Linked DNA regions of Styela clava. The protein of the gene in region 1 binds, or shares a complex with, the protein of each later gene. Links are inferred from orthologs where the notes say so. Each region holds a gene or a part of one and is shown on either strand. Other genes may lie near its edges. The genes, in order: glutamyl-tRNA(Gln) amidotransferase subunit B, mitochondrial-like; glutamyl-tRNA(Gln) amidotransferase subunit C, mitochondrial-like.

Region 1 (12,670 bases):
CGAATGTTTACTTGTTTGCCCCAAAATTACAAAAACCTGACAATTAAGACAAATAGGAATATAGTTAATATCGCATATAAACTTATAATGATATTTTGTAATTGGAACTAAATATCTATTACTCATTTTTACAATATCTTCTCTTGCTAATCTTTTGCTGCTTCATAATGTGTATAGTTTACACAAATTACATTACTGAAAGCCTGATATCACCACATAAATTTTCCGATTACAACTGCACTCCTGATTATATCATCAACAAAACTTTGGTACGATCGAAATTTTATAAAATTAAACAATTCAAGACAGTATTTATACCTCGTACACTGAAGTAAGAACTTTTTTTTTTCATTAAACTGCTCATCAAAATATATTGCAAAGCATTTCTTCTTATTTCGGATTATTGTTGGTTGAAAAATTTATAATAAAAAAACTTCTAAATTTAAAGATATTCATATCCCATATGTGCTGAGTACAATGTATATTATTATAAAACATCAAAGGACCAATTTGAGGTAATAACGAAAAAGAAAGTACATTTATTGAACTTAATGGCCAATTTTTCACGGGTCATAACTTCCAGCCTTTTTGTGCTTGAAACATCCTTATAGGGATACAGTGAATTGACACAAAAACAAATAATTCCATACAACAGGTTCCTTTTATGAGTTGTTTTTCTACAGACATTATATATCTTAATGAGATTTTAGACTTGAAAAAGCTGATGTAGATGTTAGGTTGAAAAACAAAATTACAGAAGCATTAACGGTATTTTCTAATCCTTTATTTCTGAGTTGATTATGGTGGAAAACAAAAATATTTACGAAACTACTGTGTCTAGTAAAGACAGCCAGGTAGTGCGCATTAGGGTTCATCTATCTAGAGCCAAAACCAACCCAGTTCAAAAATACAATCATGAATATCCATACAGAAATCCAGCCTAAAAAGGTCAGCAACATTTATACTTTCAATTTCAAACATTTGGGTAACAGTTTGTCACATTGCAAAACGATATGAATAATCTCAATTATATAACATGCCAAACAGGATAAATACTGAAATGATTATACTTAATTGAGAGAAATTTATGGTTGGCCAATTTTTAATCAAAAATAGATATCACGGAGCAGCACAATAACTTTGTAATAAAAATACCGTAACCTTTCTTTAGTTCATAAGCAGAATCTACAAAATTTCGGTTCATAGTTTATAGTGTAGAGTTAAAAACAAATGCTTTGACTAGTTATAAACCCTACTTTGTATAGATGAGAAGTAGCGGTTAATTAATCAAATAAAAAAAATCGGTAGGACCGATGCTTGCAAATTTATATGAACAAAGTTTTCTGAATTCAATAAATGGCGCTCCGGAAGTATCCGTACCAAGATGACGCACAACCTGAAGCCTAACCTGGTACACATGCTATGTTCAGACTGTGCGCCATCTTGATACACATGCTTCGGGAGCACCCAATATATATGCAATATACATGAGAGGCGGATCTGAATTTGCAGATAAATAATATTAAACTACACTCGACTCTGACCAAACTAATAATATCATAAAATGCGTTTTAATCTACACTTACCAGAAAATAGAACATGTATTGCAAAATCCACAGGCTCTTCACGATTATGTTACCAATCTAAATTCTGTTGCAGCAAACAGACACGCCGTTGGTTGCGATGCTCAAAGTCAGAGTCACTCATGACCATTCCACAGCCTAAACTGCTAAATGAATTTACGTTAGTATATTTGTTGAATTCCGGTACCAAGAGCGTTAAAAATGGACATTGAATTTGGGACGTTGTGATGAAAATGTGTTTATGAGTGATACCGAATATAATTGACACACAAGTTATCAAGAATGACGCTATACTGTGAGCACTTGCCGATATGTGAGCAATCAAGGTTTTCCTGGGGCAGTATCTTAACACCTTCAAATCGAAACAATTTGGAGGCAAATTCAAACACTTTTGTTCAGTGATATTTGATACTTTCTTTTTAATTTAGTAGTAATTAGATCAGTCAAAGGATCGTCGGTTCGAATGTGGAAGCCATGTTGGGGTTTAGTAATATTCAAATGTGCGGTGTAAAACATGCCGAAACCCATCTCTCCACATTAACAAAAATAACAAGAGAGCAATGCTCAAATATATGCACACAAAGATGAAAACGAAGTGGTTTCAAATCTTTTACAGTACCGGTAGTCTGGCCCCGAGATAACTGAGATATGATCACGGAACCACGACACCCTATTTTCAACTTTGATCACAAAAAACTTTGAAGTGAAAAATGAGTCCCATAGATTCCACGGATATTTTGGAAATAAATAAAAGTAATTGCCTTTTATCGAAAACAACAAGGTTTAACCACTGAACATTTCAAAGCAATTGATTGAGCAGTTAGACCGCTTCAAGAAAAAGGGGAATACAAACAACAAAACGACCCATAGTTCCATTTTGTGTTCAAAAACTGAATATTGTCATCAGAGAAATTTATCTGGCAGAGATAATATGACAAAGAGAAAGTTGCATCCCTAGTCGCTGTACAAAGGAACATAAAACAAAATGGCCTTTTTAATAGGGCCAGTATTTTATCAATTCTATTGTATGATTGTAGATGGACTTGATAGTGGAGAAATCTGTAACCGACCAACGAGCTTCGAACCTGCGAACCCACGCAGAGTAGTCAGAAGTGCGGTGCCGGTGGTGAGCGTATTCCTAACGCTTAGCACGATGAGCCACACCGCCGCGCCATACTTGTTATTAATGCCGGGTTTACCATAAAGCAAGGCAGGAGGAAGTATAGGGGCCTCCACATTCAACTTCGAGCCGTTATTCATTTTCAAATTTTTTCTTTAAAAATTTTTAATTTTTAAAGATTTGCTCAAGAATTTTACCGGATCAAAAAATCGACATTTTTATTCATTTATGTAATCGGATTATTAAATCTCGTCGCAAATAATTTCCGTTTACGAGGTTAAAAATTAAATAATGTCGAATATTTTATTTTTTTTAATTCAAAAGACTTCACCCTTTCAACTTAACAAAATACAATTTATATTAATTGAACAATTTTTGAATCTCTTAAAAGAGAGAGAGAGATTTTATTTTTTCGTCAACTAAAAAAAAACTAGCTTTGAGCTATGCTCAAATAGATGGACAGGTCACAGCAGATACCACAGTCTTCAACTATATTGACACCAAGCGAAGCAGTACTGCAGTAGTTTACCTTACTTTTAGCATTGTCGGTATGTTAGTCGTTGGTACCGGTAACCTCAAAAACTTTCGAGATTCGAGTAGCGAGAATTTTTGGAATCGGTCGTCACGTTTGGTGGATTAAAATCCGTGTTCCCATGATCAAAAAGTGATACAGCAAAATGGATGAAATATTAGATCTCATAGGATTCATAAAAATTTAGGACTAAATAAAAGTAATAGCCTTCTGGCAAAAAAAAACAATCTTTATACACTGAAAATTTCGAAGCAATTGGTCCAGTATTCCAAGAGAAAAGCGATTTCATCACAACGAGGAAGAAGAATATCAACAAAAGCAACAACATAATATTAAAACGATCTATAAGTCCACTGGCGTGTCCAATAATAACGAGGTTTGGCGTCAGATTTCCGTTTGGTGTTTCGGCTTTTTTTTGTGTCTAATCTAGTGTTCATTGGTAAAACCATATGTATAACCATATATTACTTTATTTAATGTGCAACAATAGCCTATCGCTTACTTCTACTTCTTGGCAAATGTTAATCTTAACCCCCAACTAACGACTAACATACCGAACTGACTACGCCCCCCAAAATTTACGTCGCAATACGAGACAAGCATAGTAGTAAATAACAAAAAAATGTAAACAAATATAATGGTAAGAATTATTGTTACAGTGAATGTACAATGAAAAGATGAAGTTCGACAGTCTAATGTTTCAGTATTTTCATTATCATAAAATAAGAATACAAGAGAGCTATGCTCAAATATATGGACACGTATAGTGCCATATAGTGACAAATTCTGAAGGCGTCATAGCACATAAAAACGATAAACAAAAGTAATGGACCTTTCCCCGATCTTTGACCCCCGAAAAGTTCTTCCATTCTTTACCATTACAAAATTTTCGGGGCTATTTCAAAAGTGCTTCTGCGAGTTGGCGGCTTGGCGCCTGTGAAATGGGTTATTCGTAAAATGAGGATTCATCGCATACAACAATCTGTTTCTAGGTTACGAACGCACTTTACGAACATATACAGATATAAAAAATAATACTGTATTGTAATATCTAAGCCTATAAACAGGATCATTGTGATCAAGAAAATCAGTGCTCTGGGCTCATTGGTTTTCGTTATTTACATCGTAAATGACGTGTCCAACTATTACGATTATGAAAGAATAATCACTAAGCTTCAGTCACATGGTACTGTACTGTACACAGTTTCAGTGATACTGTACGTCATTTTAATTGTTTAAGCCGGTTTTTTAGTAACTTGTTTGATCGTTTTTTTTTTACTTTTGCCCTTTGTTATGGACTCAAAGCAAAAAAAGATGTTACTGATGTTAGTGCATCAAGGTTTGCTTTTATTCACGTGATGTGGAATTGTTTTCTGTTTTTCTGATAAAGTTCTTATTTGCATTATTTGTACATTTTATTAGTGTACAGTACCATACTTTACAATACAGTACGATGTGTATAGAGCAATTCATGCACTGTAGGCTACTAGGGTACAGTATAACGCTCAGTATAATTTCTATACTAATTTTTTATTACTGCAATTAAATTAAAACGGATCTTACTACTTACTGAATACAGCGCGAAACACTGCAAAGAGCGCGAAACAGCGCAAAGCAGAGGAAAACAGCGCGAAACAGAAGGAAACCAGCGCAAAACAGAGGGAATCAGTGCTAAACAGGAGACGCAGTCATTACCACCTCCTGCCACGAAAGAACCACGGCGCCTCTCGCCATGGTTTTATGGCACTATTTCCGGTATATTTACAAGGTTATGTACCGGATTATAGGTCATCATGCGAAATTTTATCTAACTTTTTGGTGCTCCAGAAGTATGTGCAGCAATATGTCGCACAACCTGAATCCGCTACACACACACACACACATCTATTTTCAGGTTGTGCGCCATCTCTGATCTGGTGATAGATCAGTAGATATGACATTTGAATTAGACTATATAGTAATTATGGTCTTTCTGTGATGGTATTTCTGTATTTGCAGAATTGAATAAATTAAGATTATAGTTTATGCTATAGCCTACGATATGGATAACAAAGAAGCTGTCATGAACTCTTCAACACTAGATCAAAAGCTGCAAAATCTTATAAACAATGAGGATGTTGATGCAATTATAAAAGCTCAACAAACAACCTTGAGGAGACTTGAAAAATCTAATGCAATGCTAACAAACTGCAATACTCTTTCTTCACAACAACTTCTATTGATATGATATATCAGGTCAAAGGATAGATCTACGACTGTCAGAATGTAGAACAATTTGGCCTAAACACAACTTACAATATTAAAGTACTGTATAACAGGACTGGGAAAATAAAAGTAGTCTCTGATCTGGTGATAGATCAGTAGATATGACATTTGAATTAGACTATATAGTAATTATGGTCTTTCTGTGATGGTATTTCTGTATTTGCAGAATTGAATAAATTAAGATTATAGTTTATGCTATAGCCTACGATATGGATAACAAAGAAGCTGTCATGAACTCTTCAACACTAGATCAAAAGCTGCAAAATCTTATAAACAATGAGGATGTTGATGCAATTATAAAAGCTCAACAAACAACCTTGAGGAGACTTGAAAAATCTAATGCAATGCTAACAAACTGCAATACTCTTTCTTCACAACAACTTCTATTGGCAAGTGAAAAGTTCACTCGTCACACTGCGACATTGCAAGAAATGCGTAAAGATTTGCAGTCGATATTTACAAGAATAAGAACTCTTCGGGCAAAATTAAAGACACAGTACCCCGGTGAATTTTCTTTGGCTCTTGAAAATAATATGAAGAATGTTTCATTTCAAGAAAGTGGGGTTACCCCTGTAAAAGAAGAAAAACAAAACGAACTATATGAATCATCAATAAAAAGTCATTTTAGCCAGAAGCCTGACTTGTAATTTAATAATAAGTATTTTCATCTCTGTTTCATGGTTATAATTAAAGAACAACCTTTTGCTGAAGAGCTCTCCTTATCCATGGAAGCTAGCAAAACTAGGTTTGATTGGTTCTTGGCAAATGTAATATGATTATTTATAAATAGATATATGTTTTATTTACTATATACAATTATTTTGATGCTACTCCATTACTCATATTCATTCTGGGATACCATCTAGTATTTTCAAGAGGTGAAGAATTTCAAAATAGGAGAAGGAGGAATGTATCAAAAATTTGGGATATGGAGGAAGTTTTATAGAGCAGAAAGTTGTATTTAACAGCAGTTCATGATACACTCTGGTGGCAAAGAGTCCTCTGGAACATGTTATGTTCCAGAGGGGGGCATGGGGTTTAAACCCCAAACTTACTATCTATTTTGGTGTCTCTGATATCGGATTATGTTTTCATTGCATGTCACTTTGCTGCAAAAAACAAGGTTAGAACACTGCTTGGAACTTGGCGCAGCTGATAGTCTATTTGTTCTGCTATATCTATTGCTTTATGATCCAATATTATTACTGTGTGCAATAGTATTATATTTTATTTTTCAGGGCCTATATTTATATCTAATCCTTAGCTCAAAATGGGCATTGGTGGAAAATATAGATTGCTTCAAAAACCTATTTGGCATCATCTTAACAAGACATTTGTCACCCAAATAAAAAAGAAGCCATCACAACTTCACAATGTTTGGGAATCAGTAATTGGACTTGAAATTCATGCACAAATCAACACAAGATCTAAATTATTCTCAAGTGCAAGGAATCGTTTCATGGAGCCGCCAAATTTTCTTGTTTCAGATTTTGATGCTGCACTTCCTGGTACATTCCCAGTAAGAGTTTTATTATTTATCAAAAAAGGTGAAAATAACTGACTGATGCTATTGATTGCATTTTCTTTTCATAAAAACAATAACTAATTCCATATGCATTTTGTGATTGATAAGCTTACTGCAATGATATGCCTATGCTGATATTTAAGTTTACTCATTGCTTTTAATAATAACTCATCGTAATATTTTATAACACTCTTTTGTTAATTCTTATCGCCTGCAGGTTCTCAACAAGAATTGCGTAGAAGCTGCTGTTTTTACATCTCTTGCTTTGAATTGTAAAATCAACATGAAATCATATTTTGATCGAAAGCATTATTTTTATGCTGATTTACCGGTTGGTATATTTAATGAATACTTGTGGGTTTAGAAGCAAAGCATTGTAGCCTATTTTCATAATCAGTAGCTGAATTTTGACAGCAGTCTTTATTAACAGTTCTTTTAAATTTGATGCAAGAATCTGGAGTATTATCTTTATTTTGAGAGTATTTTGCGAGATGACATGTGCAAACTGCTTGTATCTTAGCTTAGTCTCACCCGTTTTCCAAACTGTTTTGATCACTTAATCTATCCTGATTCTCTGTGTATATTGTTATATAACAACTACATTGAATATTATACTATTGGAAACATTCCACTCTGAGTGATTTAAATTTTCTGCTTGCTTTTCAACTATATTGATATAATATGGATGGGGCAAGAGACTTATTTGAACTGTTGGCTAGCCATTTTAATTTCAGTATATATATTGGCCCCCCTTTTTTTTTGATTCTGTACGCATTGATTCAACTCTAAATTTTGTTTTTTTCTCTTGGGAATCTATCATTTACGTTTCGAAAATCGAAATTTATTCAAACCCAAGGTACTCTATACCTTTTTTAGTGTCAGAGCCAAATTTCAAACCTTATTAAAGTTGTAAAAACAACGCAAATTGAAACAGCTGCAAAACTAATTTCAAGTATGTGTTCTAAAATAACAACATCAACAAAACTCGTGACAACATCACCTAAACTTGATGTAAAAACCTATTTCAATTTGAAAATACTTCTTTTCCAATGTACGGAATAGCCTGCTTGGGATTACTGGAAACAAAGAAATCCGTGTACTGAAACACTATGACATCACAATAAAAAGTTGCACTCAAAATGACATCAATTCAACAACCTCACTCCAGTCTTTCATTTTCAAATAAATCACGGAAATTGAATAATTTTTGAAGAATACTTGAGAACCGCAGTTGAGAACAACTGATTTAAACGATTTGTTGATCTCAGATTCTCAAATTTAATTGTACGCAGGTAAAAAATGAACTGTCTGAACCCGTCACAAAAATACTTGGTGGGTCTCCTTGTGACCCATGTGGATCAGTGGTTTGTCATTCCTGTACTATGGCCTTATAATTGTGCCTCAGACAGGAATATTAGCATTTAGATGTTGGACAATAAATTATCACTTCTAAAGTTTGATTCATGTTTTGTTCAGCAAGGTTATCAAATAACACAGCAAAGAAAACCCATTGCAGTTGATGGTCATTTTCCAATACCAATTGAAGAAAGGCATCCAGAGGAAGGCTACATAATACGATGGAAAAATATTGGGATTGATCAAATACAACTTGAACAGGACAGTGGAAAGAGTCTACATGATGATGTTGAGAATAGCAGCCTCATTGATTTGAACAGAGCAGGTATGTGGATATGAATAGTCAACCTGATGTTCACTAGCTTATTGAACCATTGTTACCTAATCCAGTGGTCGGCAACCACCGGGCCGCGGCCCATCGCCGGTCCGCGGAAAGATTACTACCGGTCCGCAGAAAGATTACATAAAAACGGACAGCGTCCCCAAAACACCTCTACAGTCTAACAACAACGAATCCCTGCGATTAAAATTTCGAATGATAATAAGTTGAAAAGCGTATTTGCAATATGTATCTTGGTAGTCTTTTGGTTGATACTCTTAGATAAATACTCATACATTGCAAGAGAAGCTTCACAGACAGTGTTATCATTTTATGTGGGTCGCGTTTTCGATATTTACAATTACAACTACAAAAACGAAATACCGAAATCGGGTGGGCGTAAGAAACACGTTACGTGTATCACTGTCGACCATATCTCCAAATTGGGAACAGTTAATGGACGAACAAATACAGATCTCGCATTAATAACCTCACCGGTACACCTGTTTTTGGAGATAATTCCAACATAAATTTTCTAACGCGCATAATTTACTACATAAGCTTAGCTAGTTTGTATAAAGGTGGTCCGCCAAAATTTTGGTTAGGCTTTACCGGTCCGTCACCTAAAAAAGTTTGCCGACCACTGACCTAATCCATCTTAATCAATGTCTTATCTAGAACTTATCTATCTTTGAATCGCAGCTTTTGGTATGTTATTGAATATGGTATAGAATTCATCATGCCTCGTCAAATAAAACACACTAAAAAACAAATGAAAAGAAGAGATCATACCGCCAGAGAACACGCTGGTCGATATTCAAAAACAAGCTCTCGAAACACGAAAATCATTGCACGTTGTGTCGTTGCCGAAACTCAATAGGCATAACTCCTGTTACCAGATCTTTTCAGATGCAAATTGTCTGGATTCGATATTCTTAATTGCCTGCCTCATTTTAAGCCAATAAGCTTATATAAAAAGTTATATATATATAAGTTATATAAATTACCTCAACAATTGATTCAGTATAACTGACCTTTTTATTGATAGCTATTTTTATTGCATCTTTACATTTTTAAGAACAGGTGTTGGGTTGATGGAAATCGTTACTTCTCCAGATTTCTCCTCTTCTGAGGAAGCTGCTACATTTGTAACTGATCTTCAATTGACAATGATGCGACTCGGCACTTGTTGTGGGAAAGTAGACGGTAAATGAAAGTATATTTAATTTGGTATAATACATGAACATAAGCAATGTGCATTTTAGAGTTTATGACCCAAGATTTGCATTTTTATGGATTGCTATCTTTATCTTCATTTTTATTTGCTTTACCCACATTTACATCTAGATAATTATTTGTTTGGCATGGTAAAATATTTTTGCCTTAAAAAAAAGTCTGCATATTATTACCGATGGCGCTCAAATTTTATGTTATATTTATCACTATGTGTATTGTATGTTACAATGTCTCTATCGCAAAATATTACAAACATGCCCCATTTAAAAAAGGCATGAAAATGCTTTGTTGTTTCTTAAAATAAATTGTATCAATTCTGTTATTTGGTCTATATGCAAAAAATATTGTTTTATTTATGCATTTGCTGACTTTCAGAGGGCCAACTACGTGTGGATGCAAATATTTCAATTCGACGTCCAGGGGAACCACTTGGTGTTAGATCAGAAGTTAAAAATATTGCAGGAATCCGCGGACTTCAACAAGCAATTGGTATGTCTCAATTAAATAGTATTTTCATTTGAATGCAGAAAGGTAATTTATAATAATTTTGGGTAACATAAGGCACTTCTGCAAAGTTTCATTTTATTTTTGTGTACTGTGTTTATTTACAAATCTTTTCAGAATTTGAAATATCAAGACAAAGAATATTACTCGAAAGTGGGCAGAGAGTTGTCAACGAAACAAGAGATTTCAACGCAGAGAAAGGGTGTGTTAAGATATTATTTATAGCTAGCCAGTCTTTCTGCCATTTTTATAGATTTTGTATAAATTGTCTTGAGCCTTTTGATAATTTTTTATGCAAGTGCAACTCTTGTAAATACAATAAAGTCAATTGTCCTGTAACTCTATTGACAATATTTTGAAACAGTATTACTACAGGATTTTAATGCCTCATACTGGATGCTAGAACAGCTTAGTGAGAACGAATTTTTCTTTTTATCAGAATAACAATTTCCATGAGAGACAAAGGAGAATTTCAAGATTATAGATTCATGCCTGAACCAAATTTACCGCCCCTCATTTTGTATAGTGATGAAACATTGCCACCTTCATTCGATTCCAGGTATGCCAATGTTAATTTCTGTGTATTGATGACTGTTGCTATAAGCATTTTCAGGTACAATATTGCTGTGATTGTTTTTTTTTTGTAAATGGTTTGAACTAATTATTCTTTGAGTCAAATAGGGGTTTCGTTTCAGATAGCCACAGGCCACACTTGAAAGAATAACACATTTCAGTATTTATATATAATTCTTTGCTCCCTGTCTTTCATAATGGAGTCATTGAACTTGTTTGAAAAAATTGACATAAAAAATATTTTTCAGTTGTGACATAAATATTGATGACATCAGAAGACGACTTCCTCATCCTATGCCTGTAGATATCAGAAGACAGCTTGTTGAAAAATATGATTTATCACTGTCAGACTCTACATTTCTTATGGTTAGTGGATTGGATTTACATATTTATACCGGGCAGAGTAAAGTCAATAAGACAACTTAATCCCCTCGACTGGTTACCAGTCCATGTTGGGTATGGGATCAGTTATTTGTTTTCAGATGCATAGACTTGATGGTGGAGGAAGCCATAAGCGGTGACGACGGCGAGTCCAGCAATCCTCTCGCACATAATTGGATAATTAGCATAATTAACATAAACTGGATAATTAGATTAAATCATTCGGAAGCGTCGAAGAACGCTTTGTGTCATCATTACTACCATAGCGGGGAAGGTAGCACGACGATTTCTTCACCTCACCGAATGTAGTATGAAATAAAATAGTGTTATTTTGCGTCTTTGATCATTAGTGCAAATATCGTGCAATCAATGCGTAAGTGACAAAATACTGAAGAAAATGCTTAGTACAGCAACAAATCGGTCCAAATCAAAAAGTGATTGTGGGCTTTGTGGCCTAACAAATTGATTTGTGAGCAAGTAGCATTCTTGTATTGTGAAAATGTTGATATTAAAATTATACAAAATCTCATTTTCAGGAAAATGGCATCGGTGAATATTTTGTTGACATCTTGGTTGCTGCTCCTAACCTTACCCATCTTACTGCATTTGATTTTGTCCGATCTCAATTATTAGGTGTGATGTATGCAACAAATAGGAGAACGAAGGAGTGGTAGGTATACTGTTAACTTCAGACTCAATACTGTATAATCCGTATTACAGTAACTGTTGGGCTGAGGAGTCGAAGTTTTGCATGTTCTTGATTGAGTCACAACAAAGTTTTATTCTCAAAATCCCTGTCTTTGTCAATATTCTGAATTTACTGGAGGGATAGTCTGATGTAAATTTTCTCAGACTCTACAGCAGACATGGGCAAACTACGGCCTGCGGGCCAAATCCGACCCGTTGGGTAAATCAATCTGGCTCGCCTGATGATGCCACAACCAAAGTAAAACCAAATTTTGATGTTTTAGCTAAAAAATAGCTCAAGGAATTTGTTGGAATTGTGATTGTATTCAGTTTTGGCTCGAAGATTATTGTTTTCCACTTTTGCTTTTGTAACACTGTAAATATTGTTCATAAAATGTGACATTTTTTTGTCACACTTAGATCGTCCGCCCGCTGGGGGGCTAAATTTTGACCCCTGATTCAAAAACCTTGTCCATTTCTGCTCTACAGCCTTGTGCTCAATAAAACTGGAACCTCATTTCCAGTTCTTTGTACCAATCATCCCAAGAAAATATTTGTGCGAATGATCCATTGCTATCTATGCTTGCTA
Region 2 (12,942 bases), on another chromosome or scaffold:
AACGTACACAACTTTACCCAAACTTGCGTAAATACAAGAACCACTGAATTTTTTATAAAATTTTAACATTGAAATGGACTCTTGTTATATATATTTTTTAAAATTAAAAAATTTGTCGATTTTAATCGTAATGGCTTGAGAAAGTGAATTAATAAATACCAACTGCTTTTAGACTAAGTCTAAGTTTATTCGCTCGTAAAAAATAATAGTGTTAGTCGCTCAATTGGTGTAGCTGTCTATCATCAACAAGGGCCAAACTGGTACATAGTTTGTTTATAATTTACACCAATTGTTTCCAATAGGATATCTACTCAATGAGCTGACGCGAATTTGTATGCGAAGGTAACAAGCGTGAAATTCAATGACTAGGTTGTTCTTGCATTTCCTTTGCAATCATTTTGAATCATGGCCCCACGGCGCACAAAGCAACTCTCATACTCATGTCTACACTCTTAAACAACTTCTTTTCTGTTTTTAATAGTTGTTAAAGCAGAAAATGCTGATTTACACAAATAGGTATTGGGAAATTGACACAAAAGTTTTAATGCTTCTTTTGCAATTGCTGTACCCCCTTTGTGGAAAGAAATCCAGAAATATTACCCCCTTCCGTGTTTTTCGAAGGTTTCCTCCAAATTAATATCATTACGGATATCTAGGAGTCCTTCTTGCTATTGCGCGCTTAGAAATTCATCCAAAAACGGAAAAGAAGCATAATCATTTTTTGCAACTTTACTGGCCCAGCAGTCATCAATTTTTCCTTTATCCAGAACCCCTAAAGAGCCCTATAAACTCACGGAACTCCACTGTATGTGCTGCGGAACCCAAGGATTCCGCGGAACCCCTGTTGAAGAGCACTTATCTAGAACAAAACTGATTAGGTAATCCTACACATAACCTGGTGAGCGGGAGGAGAGGACGTTATTTGTCACTAAATGACGTACATCCCCACAAAAAATTTGCAGTTACAGGTAGCAGTCTCAATTGGACAAGTTATAACTCCTTTGACAAGAGACTCAAGGACGCCACGAACTCTCGCTAAATCCCCGACGGCATCGACCCCACATTTTCTTTTGTCTAAAAGTTTGTATATCAAGGCTGCGGACATCATCTACTAAATATGAATTTTCATATTTTCCACCAGACAATCTGCTGATCAACACCGGCCCACGACCTCTCGGATCTAAAAAAAATTACAGTATAACATAGCGGAATGATTATTCTTGGATAATAAATTGTTTCCTAACAACTACCAACAATTTTATTAGTGGCATTGCACGACGACGGAATTAATCCATATCGACCCACAGTTAAATTACAATCGCATTTGACCAGTGGTGGAATGTGTGTGGTAATTTGGAACCGCATGCCAAAACACCATGCTCAAATAATAATATCGTGGTATAAATAACTGATTTTCGCGATCTCTCAGCTAAAGTTGCAAAATGACATTTGTGCATCATGATACATTTGTGCATCACGATAAGCGCTAGGAGTACGCTTTAATTATATTCAAAATAACCCCGGGATCGCAACACTGCTCCTAACAGTCGAAGTCGATCAACTTTCACATCCACTGCATAAAGGTGAGATCGCATCACAAAAAGCTTTCACTGGAGATAACAACATGTTACAAACAATAAGGGAATGAGTACAATATATATTTGGGTCGACAATGGTAAAAATAACGAATATATATATAACCGACAACAGTCCACGCACAGTCTTATAAATATATTGTCAAAATATGAATACTTGAGATAAATGACGAATTTGAAAATATATACAATCATGGATGACTTCTTGAATAGCAGGAGACAGACAGTTCATTGCACCAGTAATGCTATATACATTTCTTTACTTAAAACAGTACAAGTGTTAAGGTAAATATTTAATTAGAATATTAGGTTCAAGGTCATCTTACTGAGAAGTGATTAATAAGTGTTTTCCTTCAAATGGGCATGTGAAAAGCTGTAGTGAAGACAATTTTATTATATACTTCAGCATGGTAAGTGGATGGTTCATTACTAATTGAAATGTTTTTAAATATCTAGACCTAGAGAAATTATACCTACATAGAGCGAGCAAATGAACAAAACAACCTAAATTGGAAATAACAATCCAGAACTGAATATACAATAAGTTTCATAGCCTTTTTGAGGTACATAAAGAAATTTTCAATTAAATTGCGATCACCAACAATTTGGAGTGTATGTATGGAAAAGTATATAAAAATGTCAATCAGGCAGTGTCTATACCAAGTGGCATGCATGAAAAAAACAATCTATGATATGTATAGAGTCTTTTAAAAATGCTAACATCAATCTCGACTTCATTTGAAATGGTATAATTTTTTTAGGAGCTCATTACAAAGTATTTCAAAGAAATAATACTTGAAAATAATATGAAAATGTATTGGCTAATCATTTCAGATATATCCCACAATTGGCAATTTAAAAAACGAGTATCTAGCAAATATATGGTGCAGATTCGATACATGCATTTCAACCATGAAATAAAGAGCAATTAAGTATTGCAAATATTGAATAGAGCATGAATAAAACAAAGATCCTATAAATTGCAGCTGAAAAGTGCTCATATTATGTCACAATAAAATCTTTAAAAATATCATAAACAGTTCTAAGACCAAGTAACAACTCTAACATATTTGAAAAGCTAATCTCAAGTAGGTAAATTTGAAACTTTTTAGCAAGCACTAATAAAAATATTCAATATCAACAAAGACAATGTGATTTCTGTGAATGGCAGGTGTCCAATGTGTGATTTCTTTACTGAAAAATATTAAACAATGTGGTATTAACATTGAGTAGCATATCGTTTAATAATTTCTGGAACCTGCATAAAAATGTTTTCAACATTAGATGACATAAGTTTAGAATATGTTTTAATGGAATGGCCATTGTAAACTTCCATGTTTGTGGCATAGCATCACATATTACAAATAGGTTAAAGTTTCGAGTGAAATTATTAGACAATAAAACTCAAATCACCCAAGTCACGAGCTGATCAATCAGTGAACCAAAGCTTAAAGACTTGCTGAATGAATTCCAAAATAGCTTGTTGGGAATCGGCATATGCAATGTTACAAAATTACCTTCTTTTATATTATTTTTACTAGGGAAAAATCGTAATACTCGCTAAAATGGTACCTGAATTCATCAAAGATTTTCGTGACCTATTAAACATTTTAAAACAAAATTTTCATTGCAAGTATGTTCCACTGGTGTTCCAAATTGTTGAAGAAGATCGACAGCATCTTGGGTGGAATGTTTCCAACATGTAATTTCTTGTATATAATGTCCTAAAAAAGTGGTGTTGAATTAAAGTAAATATAAATGATTGGTGATTTTCAGGTTTAGTGCTCAAAAAGTTTGGGTATATCAATAAGGGTATACCAAATTTACATCATAAAAATTATGAACGATGGTAATGTAATAAAAAAAATGTTATCCAGCAGGTCAAAAGCGGAATTGGTCTCCAGATAGTCAGGAGAAAAGTAGGCAACAGGTTGTGTAGGAGAAACGCTACTCTAAGAGAAACCCTTCTTAGAGCCTCAATAGTCCAATCTAATAATCTCAAATTTGCTATTAAACACCAACCCCAACAAGCTGTGGAGAAATAAAATACTGCGTAAACACCTGGTCAAGTCTCTTTCGTTGATCGACGAGCTCTTAGTCTTGCTCTATAATTTAGTTTCTCTTCGGAAGCTTTATTAGCTGTCTCCTCCTGTTTTCCATCAGTTATTGCTTGAATAAATTTAAACCTCTTCAGGAAAAGTTTGTAAACAATCACCCACAATATGAAAATAAATACGACAACAATCAAAGCACTTGATATTGTGAGCCCAGCAAAAAGAAGAAAATCTTGCAGCATGCTATATAAAGTTTTGAGTTTATACCCTATTGTAAATTTGTAACCTAAACTATAAATAAATGTAAATTTTAATGATGAGAGAATTATTTTAATGGAGAAAAGAGAAGACATGGCACTTTATTGAAAATTCGAGCTGATCTTAGTCACCAGTGAGGATGGTCAGAGGTTGACATTGACATATTCATTTAGCTTGTGAATTATTTTAACGATTAAGAATAAAATTTATGACACCATTGATGAATAAATAAATTCCTGTACTGACATTGACTCTGACACTGACTCTTGTAACGCATTCAGATTTTCAGCATTCTTTAACTTGGGGTATTCGTTTTCTAGAAATGCTGACATATGTGCAATTTGTTTATACTAATATTCGCTACTAAAGTACTCGATTTATTTGTTTCAATCGAAGTGTTCAAACTTATTTTTCTATTCAGCTCGTCCAACCTCAGAAGCTGACATAGGATTTCAAATCAATCTGCATCCTACTTGACAATAAATGATTCATGTTAAAAGAAGAGACTTAGTACCAGTAATTGTAACAATATCAGCTTAATTTGTCATCTTTTTCATTATCAATGTCAAAAAAGGTTTCGCCCTCATAAACTTTATTTCCAACTGGAGCAATATAATAGCCCTCAAATACTTCTTGCGGTAATTTTAATACATCTCCTTTTGTTTCCTGAGGTTCATCATCTCTCATTGGGAGAGGCACATTTTCCAAAACAGATACCAAAGGCTCAACTCCATCAGTGTCAACATGCAATATCTGGTCTGCGAAACGTATCGCACTCTCCAGTCTTTTCACAGCATTTGTGTCCTCAAAATTTACCAATGATAGTTGTTCCAAATGTCTTGCTTTTGATAATGAAATTTTTGTAGGTGGTGGAAGATCAACTTCTTCAATATGTTTCCAAACAGGTTCCTTAGGGATTAAATCAGAAGCTTTTTTTAAAACATTTCTTTTCGAAGTACAAATTTTTGTGTTGGAATAGATCCTTTTTAGTGCACTAAGAGATTTTTTTGTAAGCATTTCAGGTTCTATCTGCAACTCTGGTAAAAACATAAAAGTACACTACCTGATGAGCACTATGGAAGTTACATCTGAACATAGTGGCAATGAAATTCTGAATTTAGATAACTTACTAAAAAGGCAACTCCACACGATATTGTACAAAAAATCACAATACATTGACATTTGACACTGATAATCACATTGAAATGCAATTAAGTGATATGTGCAGACACATATTTATCTGGGCATTCTATTTCTCCCAAGACTATAGAATTTAATATTAAACTGAAAACGATTATCCTGGAAACACAATTCACAGTTACCGTACCCCAGCCCACACCAAAGTGACTTTATAGTCACTTGGCACGGCGATGTGGCTCAACGGGCTAAGCGTTAGGATTACGCTCGCCACCGCACCTCTAATTACTCTGCGTGGGTTCACAGGTTCGAATCCCATGCAGGGATGGTTATGTGCGAGAGGATTGCCGGACTCCTCGCCGTCGTTGGGTGGTTTACGTAACCGCTGGTCGATTACGGCTTCCTCCACCATCAAGTCCATGCTTCCGAAAACAAACAATATAACTAATCCCATACCCGACTTGGAATGGTAACCGGACGAGAGGCCGTGGTTCGCCATATGGATAAGCGGTCTTATCGGCTTTCCTCTCCCCCGGGATAAATATGTAAATCCTATCTTATCCTAGTCACTTTGGCCAAATATACGCACGATTGACCGAAATGGCATTTGCGCCGACGTTAAAGAACTGACTGACGTTGAGAAAACGAGAGAAATAACTGTTCGATTTCGAGTGCTCGTTTGCGCGTCTTGGATGGCAGTTCGTATAGTTTGAAGGGTTCTATTACGTCACTGTGACGTAATGGCGTAATTTTTGGATGGTGTAGTCAGGTGGGGGTTAGGATTGATACCGGTACGTGAAAAAAAAGTCATGTTACGCCCATTAGAAGTACCGTATGTTAGGTACGAAACTACATGAGACCCCCGGTACTTCAGTACTTATCTAAGCTTAATTAACATGTTGTCTAAGCAGACACAACAGATTTGGGATATTTACCATAGCTAAAGCTGGGAAACTAGCACCCTTTTCCTTTTACTCACATCCTCTGATTAAACGTGCACAACCTAAACTTCACCACTGATTCACGGTCTGAGGATTTGCTCTCGAGTTCGAAATAATAAAAGACAAACAAATGGGAATGGAAAGGGTTCATGTGAAAAATGGCTATCATGCAGCTCTCGGGCGCCGCATATGTATGGATGGATGTATTTTTATTCGTCTCTTATGGACCTTTCCCGACCTTTGGCCCCCGAAAAATTATTTTTATACTTTACCATTGCAAATATTTCGGGGCTATTTTAAGAGTGTTTTTGCAAGTTGGCCCAGTAAAATGGAGTATGTGTTTCAAAACATTATTATAATTTATCGCATACAACAATCTATTTTTTCAAAAGTACCGGTAAAGAATTTTAGCCTAGACTATCACAGCTATTTCTACACAAATTTTTTATTACTGCAATTAAATTAAAACTCCTAGGAAGACAGAGTGATCATTGAATTATTCGATTTATATTTAAGTTTCCGAAACACAACAGAAAACTAACGAATAGAGTTCAAAAACGAGATAATGTTTACGACCACGCTTGAAAATCTGTCTGAGTGAGAAAATTGTCTGAGCGGATGCGAAAAGGGAGCACTGTTACGTCACTTTCTGCATCTTGCTGATTGTCCAATGTCACGAAGTAAACGAGGAATTAGATGCTCGGGGAGAGGTCCATAGTGACAAATAAATAAATTGACAATTATTATTATTTAGGACGGGATGCATGCACAAGACCTACTGGCCTAAAACACAAATGTGCGGCATGCACTCCTTTTGACAAATATAAAACAAAAAACATTAGATTAAATATGTATAATATGGTCACTTATATAGACAGTTGTGCAAAGTGGGGTGATGGGTTGGTGTGGTGAAAGTGGTAAGGGAGGAATATACAAAACTGTTTATACAGAGGAGTTTATAAGACAAGACAACATATATGAATAGAGACAACACCAAATACACATATGCATAACGATGAAATCAAAATTTAGACGTAAATACAGCACCTGAGCGAACACGTACTACTTCTTTTATCAATACCTTTCCATCTAAAATCTCTACGTTTCGAACCTTACTCGAGGTTTTGTTCGCTTTCCCGATTCTATAATCAGTTACTTTTATTCTTGTTTTTATCTATCATTATCGTCTATTGCTGAATATGGAGTCGAAATAAACTTATACCTTTGAGTGGTGAGACCATATAATATGAATGGGCAAAGTATGAAAGGTAAATGTGTGGTGCATATATAGTACGTTTCACTCAAGGGTGATAGTAGAGTCTTTGATAGAATATGGCTTTTCAGCAAAAATGTGAACCATACAGATTTTGGTGAATAAAATAATAATAAACTTGAATCGTTTCAATCAACAAAAACATTATCAAATCGAATAAAGAAAATCTAGTTAAGAAAAATAAATCTAGTTAAGTCAAAAATTGCCCAAAACCAACTTTACACATAAACCCTTTTTTCATAGCGGAATATTCCATTCAAATCATCGTACGTTGCGCCTTGTCAACATGACTTGATTTGCAGTCCCGCCAGTGGTCTGTTTTTGCAGATTAGTTTTTGAATAGCATCTAAGATTTCTGAACAAACTCCGATTCTGAAACAGTTTATCCATAGACAGAAGGTTCTGAATCTTTATTGTGATATTGTCCGGGTTATTTACAAAATAGAAGATCTTAAGGATGGAGGTATATGCCACACTGGGCAAGAGTAAAGTTCGAAAAGAATAAATCAGAGACGAACCAGGGATCGGTAGCATTACTCCTGACCAGAGAGAGACGGAATCTCGACCACAATAAATCCAACCCGATAATTTCAGAATTTAGCACAATATTTAAAGACCAAAAATGGATGATAAACGGCAGCGCACAAAAGCGGAAATACGGAGAAGAAAAGGAAACTTTATTGAAATCAGAAGAGCGAATGAGAGAATTACTTAGACCAAGCTCTGAGCCAGCTCAGGAGAATCAAATCGAACTCAAGTAATTTGACGAGTGAGAAAGAACTGTCAACTTCAAATACTTTACAAAATCATGCATCCAAATTTAATGATCCAATGCCAATCAATGAAATCCACTCCACGAAAAAAAATAAAAAACAAACAATCATCCAACCTAAAACTAAATTTCGAAATAAGTGTATTTATTATTGGTGGATTCCTCAGATGGTTTCCGAGTCTCTCTGTGCCAATATTATTATGTGTTTTACTGTTGAAACCTTTACCAGCAAACAGGCAACATGCTGCTATACATTTCTTAGTAATATTGGCATTGGACAGACTTGGTGTCAACGGCCAGAATGCATTTGTATTTAAAATTTACACTGTGTTAGAAAATTTGTTTCATACTTTTACCATATTTTGTTTTTCATTTTTATTGGTTCAAAAGTTAATTAACACTTAACATTTTATTTATGTTTCTTAAATTCAGATATAAATCGATCAACTCAGACATTTTTGGCCACGGTCATGGACTTCTGATTCAAATAAGTTTCATGGTTAATAAACTTTACACATGCTTGAAGATTTCATTCACACTACAGAATAAAATTGATAGATACTTCTGGAGCAGGGCTTCCCAACGTGTTCCAGGTAGACCCCAGGGATACTCAGATAAAGTGCTAATTATATTAAATAAGTACATTTCATTAAAATTGCTGCTCCTTTCATATGCTGTTGGATAAACTGAAATAAACGAAAGAGCACCTGCTAGATTAGTGCTTGAATTAGTAAGAAACATGCATTTGGACGATAGTGTAGAAATGAGGATCAATATTAGTGACTTGACCCCACGGATCTCGATTCTTGTAAATAACAAGCAGCCACAAGTTCTCACTTTCAATTCTGTAATACTTTTTACCAATAAATTTTGATATAGAAGTAAAAAATTGAATTTAATATATTTGAACCCTATTGGAGTTACGACGAAATGCTTCTTGAACATTTAACCACTGACGCTTGTTAACAGTATCAAAATGCATCAATTTTATGCAATGCAAGTTTTTTACAAATCAACATTGTGAGCACAAAAACACTAATAAATCGGGTATTCCGCACTGAGAAATTTACACGGAAAAGTCAAGAAATTAAATAAAAACAGTATGTACATAACATAGGTAACAGAATTATTACAATTGGTCTTTTTTCAAATTATGTGGTTGTGTATTTGAAACAAAGGCAACATTATTTATAGAAACAGTACCTTCGACACTAAAAGATATCCGAGAAAAAAATGCAACAGCAATGGTAATCTGCGTTAGGTGGAACATTACCATAACATTAATTTCTACTGTAGTACAGTATCTAAAAGGAGGGAGAAAATCATATAGGAACAACATGAGTGTACGATAAATGAAAACACCACTACATACTGACTAATATTTCTAATACATAACTAGACTACATCTACACTGAATCTCTATAAATCACACAGTCTTAAATGCCCTCTATATTTTAAAACATTAACTGTCGGTCTACAACTTGATTTCTCACCTCTCAATCGCTTCCAAGGCTACATTTCTTTCAACTCCTAAATAACCTTTCATTGCTGCCCTTGTTCTTGTCGACTCTATTTGGACCAACTGACATCAGTAAAATTGGTTACTTTCCCTCTTTCACACAAACGGCCTAAATGTATCAAGTATGCTGTGTTCTATATAGTAGTATAAGTTTGCTGAATAGTCAAGAATCGTCATTAAATTAATTATAAACTTCCCATACATGAATGAAAATATCGTTGTTTGTGACATATCTTTCTAGGTCTAACCTTCTATTCATGGTAAGAATTTACAAGTGTTTAATAGCTTACTCATATTTTTAACACCTTCTTAGAATGACTTAACTAATAATAACTGAAAAAGACGATGGAAAGGCTACTCAACTCAACGTGAAAGCGAGCAGTACATACGAGATTCACCCGACCACGGGAATCTACCTACAGCTGATCAAATTTTAATTGTTACGTGTTGCAGAAGTCTGCCTTCATTGACGACCACTGTTACCAGAAAATCAGAGAATAGTAGGATATTATGTTATGGTAACACATATTTCTTGTAGTGAAAGCGTCTTTTTCGTAAAACGTGCAACTTTTGGAAATGGGAACAAAGTATTATTTGTTACTAAATTTATTTTGAGCATTTTGAAATCATTTTCAGGTAGTTCCCTTATGTGCGCTACGAAACTGAAAGATGAACGGCCTCGTCTCGCGGCCTATGATAATCTTCGCAAATAAACTTTAAATGGCAAAGATTAGGAAAAATAAGAATTGGGAACATCTATCCCTATCCTAAACTGTCTGGGCGGCTGGCGCGAAAAACCACCCTACGTGAGGATAATAATCACAAAAGAAATGCTGACTTGATTCCTGCAGAGAATGTTTCTGGCGATTGGTAATTTCTATTTCTCCATATTTACGCGCCAACGTGATGTATCGTCAAGTATTCAGTCATGTATCATCAAGTGTCAGTCAAGTATTCGGTCTGGGAGTTGGTTTGTTTGCTTAGTCACTGTCTGTGTGCACTTCTCTATGGATTTAAGCTTCGAGCTTAACTTTATATTCAAGAGTGTTTGTTCGTTTGTTCGTAATCTGGTTAACTTTCTACCGGTATGTCTGCATGTAGCGTCGTCATTTAGTATCACGTTTTGCTATTTTGTACAGGCGTGCTCATTTAATCACTACCGTACTGGCAGACTTCAGGACATCAAGATTGCGGTAGTCTGGTAGTCCCAATACTGCAATAAGTCTAGTAAGCATTGCTGTTGTTTCTGTGTTTAATGTCAGTAAGTAGAGAGAGTAGATAAAATCTATCAATTCGGCAGTGGCAAACGTTATAAATTTATTAATATGGTGTGGCAAGTAATTTTTATTCATTCATTTTTTTTTAACTACCCGTATGTAATTTATAACTTCTGTATGGTTGTGTGAGCGTGTGCGAATTATTTCCATTATTTTAGGTGAGTGAACACGTACCACTTCTTCTTGGCAAAACCTTCCATCTTTTATACATTCTGTACGTTTTGAACCTTTTCTAAGGTTTTGTTTGCTCTCCTGATTTCATAATCAGTTTTTATTTATTTTTTTTTACCAATCATTTTATTGTTATGCTGATTATGGAGTCGAAATAAACTTATTATTATATATTATTATTATTATAGAGTTGGATATCCAGGTACTAGTTCAGTAGTTCTGTGCCGGTAGTCCAGCTAATTAGACAATCAAATATGCTTCACATATACAGCATATAAACTAGAGCCATTCTGTGATTGCATTGTCAGATTGTTAAGAGTATTTACCTGTGCCCAAATATCATATTGTTTTCATATCACTTTCCGTACTTATGTCTGTATGTTCATCTTTTTCATTCACTTTTCAGTCGTACCCTATTCAGTATTCTGTAATTATTGTTAATTTCAATTCTAATCTCTGAATCTGGATTCTGAACAAAAAGAACCGGCTGCCAAAGTCACTAAAGTTGAGCCAGAGAACATGGCTCCTATACCAGATGTGCAGGAAAGAGTTCAAAAGCTAATTAAAGAGAATGTGGTTATGCTATTTAGCAAATCGTACTGTCCTTATTGTAAAGAGGTCAGTTTGTGTATTTTAATACTGTAATAAGCTATTTTTTCAAAAGCATTGCTAATAAAGATTGAGTGGGTCTCATGTAGTTTCGTACCTAACATACTTTTAGTGGGCGTAGCATGACAATTTTTTCACGTATCCATCCTAACCCCCACCTGACTACACCTTCCAAAAATTACGTCATTACGACGTCACAGTGACGTAATAGAGCCCTTCAAACTATACGAACTGCCATCCAAGACGTGCAAACGAGCACCCGAAATCAAACAGTTATTTCTCTCGTTTTCTCGTCGCAACGATTCCAATGGGAGAGAGATCGGTATCGTCAGTCAGTTCCTTATCGTCGGCGCCAATGCCACTTCGGTCGATCGTGCGTATATTTGGCAAGCTCTATAACGTGATTGTGATGTCGCAGTGTTTTAATTTTTGGATGGCGTAGTCAGATGGGGGTTAGGATTGATATATCAAAAAATTGTTACGCTTCGCTCACTAGAAGTATGTTAGGTACGAAACTACATGAGACCCGATTGAGTATTACGGTATCGGTCTATCTTGGAACGTTTTTAAGATGTGTATGAGCTATGTATTTCTCTTTTTTTTTTAAATCTTTACATATCATAGCTACTAGTCTGGAAAGCACTGAAGAGAATCAGCTTTATTACTGTTAAATGCTTATAGTTTTACTAACGATATTTGTGTTTTTAATACATCTCGAATATAAATTTCATTATCGTAGGTTATGGTTATTGATTAATAATGTTTATTTTTGTACTACAAAATTGAAAATAATTTTGTTAGAGATCAAATCTTGTCTCGTTTTTTACAATAATATAAAACCAATTTTTTGAATTCTTTTTATCCATATTGATTTTGTATATTTTATTTATTTTAAATTATTATTTATACCTTTAGATAAAGAAATTATTCAATTCGTTGGGAATTAGTTTTCATGCTTTAGAACTGGATCTTGAAGGTAAATGCCTATTATACTCCATCTGCAGGATTTACTGTCAATTAAAAAATGACTGACAAAATTTTGACTGATACACCATAAGAATTTTCACTCTTGTTCGCTCTCGAACGAACCATTTGACAGCAATTAAAATAAAGTTTATCATCAATAGTAGGCCTATTTAAAAAAATTACCTTGAAAATTGTGAATTTGCAACAATTTTATATTATACACAATAATATTAGGTGGACTGTTAAATCTGATATAATTAACAAATTTGTTGTATGAATCACCTTCAGACGTTTATTTGGTTACATGTCGTTTAAAGTTTGTAAACACTAATAATGTATAACCTTTACATTTTTTGGTTTCAGAAAATGG

What was found.
Region 2: glutamyl-tRNA(Gln) amidotransferase subunit B, mitochondrial-like (region 1) and glutamyl-tRNA(Gln) amidotransferase subunit C, mitochondrial-like share a complex: the UniProt entries of both Drosophila melanogaster proteins name them as parts of the heterotrimeric GatCAB amidotransferase (AdT) complex. The link is inferred for Styela clava from reciprocal best matches to the Drosophila melanogaster genes GatB and GatC.

What each region holds. Positions count from the first base shown.
Region 1 is NC_135262.1:19,544,535-19,557,204, forward strand, and holds the start of glutamyl-tRNA(Gln) amidotransferase subunit B, mitochondrial-like, read left to right. Parts: upstream 1-6,529; 5' UTR 6,530-6,623; exon of another isoform or gene 6,624-6,738; 5' UTR 6,739-6,770; coding exon 6,771-7,019; exon of another isoform or gene 7,020-7,047; intron 7,048-7,242; coding exon 7,243-7,356; intron 7,357-8,501; coding exon 8,502-8,706; intron 8,707-9,783; coding exon 9,784-9,906; intron 9,907-10,311; coding exon 10,312-10,425; intron 10,426-10,557; coding exon 10,558-10,642; intron 10,643-10,879; coding exon 10,880-10,999; intron 11,000-11,261; coding exon 11,262-11,379; intron 11,380-11,930; coding exon 11,931-12,064; intron 12,065-12,670. Other genes in the region: kxDL motif-containing protein 1-like, read left to right, coding at 5,710-6,147. UniProt on the Drosophila melanogaster protein: Allows the formation of correctly charged Gln-tRNA(Gln) through the transamidation of misacylated Glu-tRNA(Gln) in the mitochondria. The reaction takes place in the presence of glutamine and ATP through an activated gamma-phospho-Glu-tRNA(Gln).
Region 2 is NC_135258.1:13,069,755-13,082,696, forward strand, and holds glutamyl-tRNA(Gln) amidotransferase subunit C, mitochondrial-like, read right to left. Parts: upstream 5,825-12,942; 5' UTR 4,958-5,824; coding exon 4,439-4,957; 3' UTR 3,618-4,438; intron 3,320-3,617; 3' UTR 3,168-3,319; intron 2,854-3,167; exon of another isoform or gene 2,790-2,853; 3' UTR 1,638-2,789; downstream 1-1,637. Other genes in the region: thioredoxin reductase 1, cytoplasmic-like, read left to right, coding at 11,517-11,615, 12,522-12,582, 12,936-12,942. UniProt on the Drosophila melanogaster protein: Allows the formation of correctly charged Gln-tRNA(Gln) through the transamidation of misacylated Glu-tRNA(Gln) in the mitochondria. The reaction takes place in the presence of glutamine and ATP through an activated gamma-phospho-Glu-tRNA(Gln).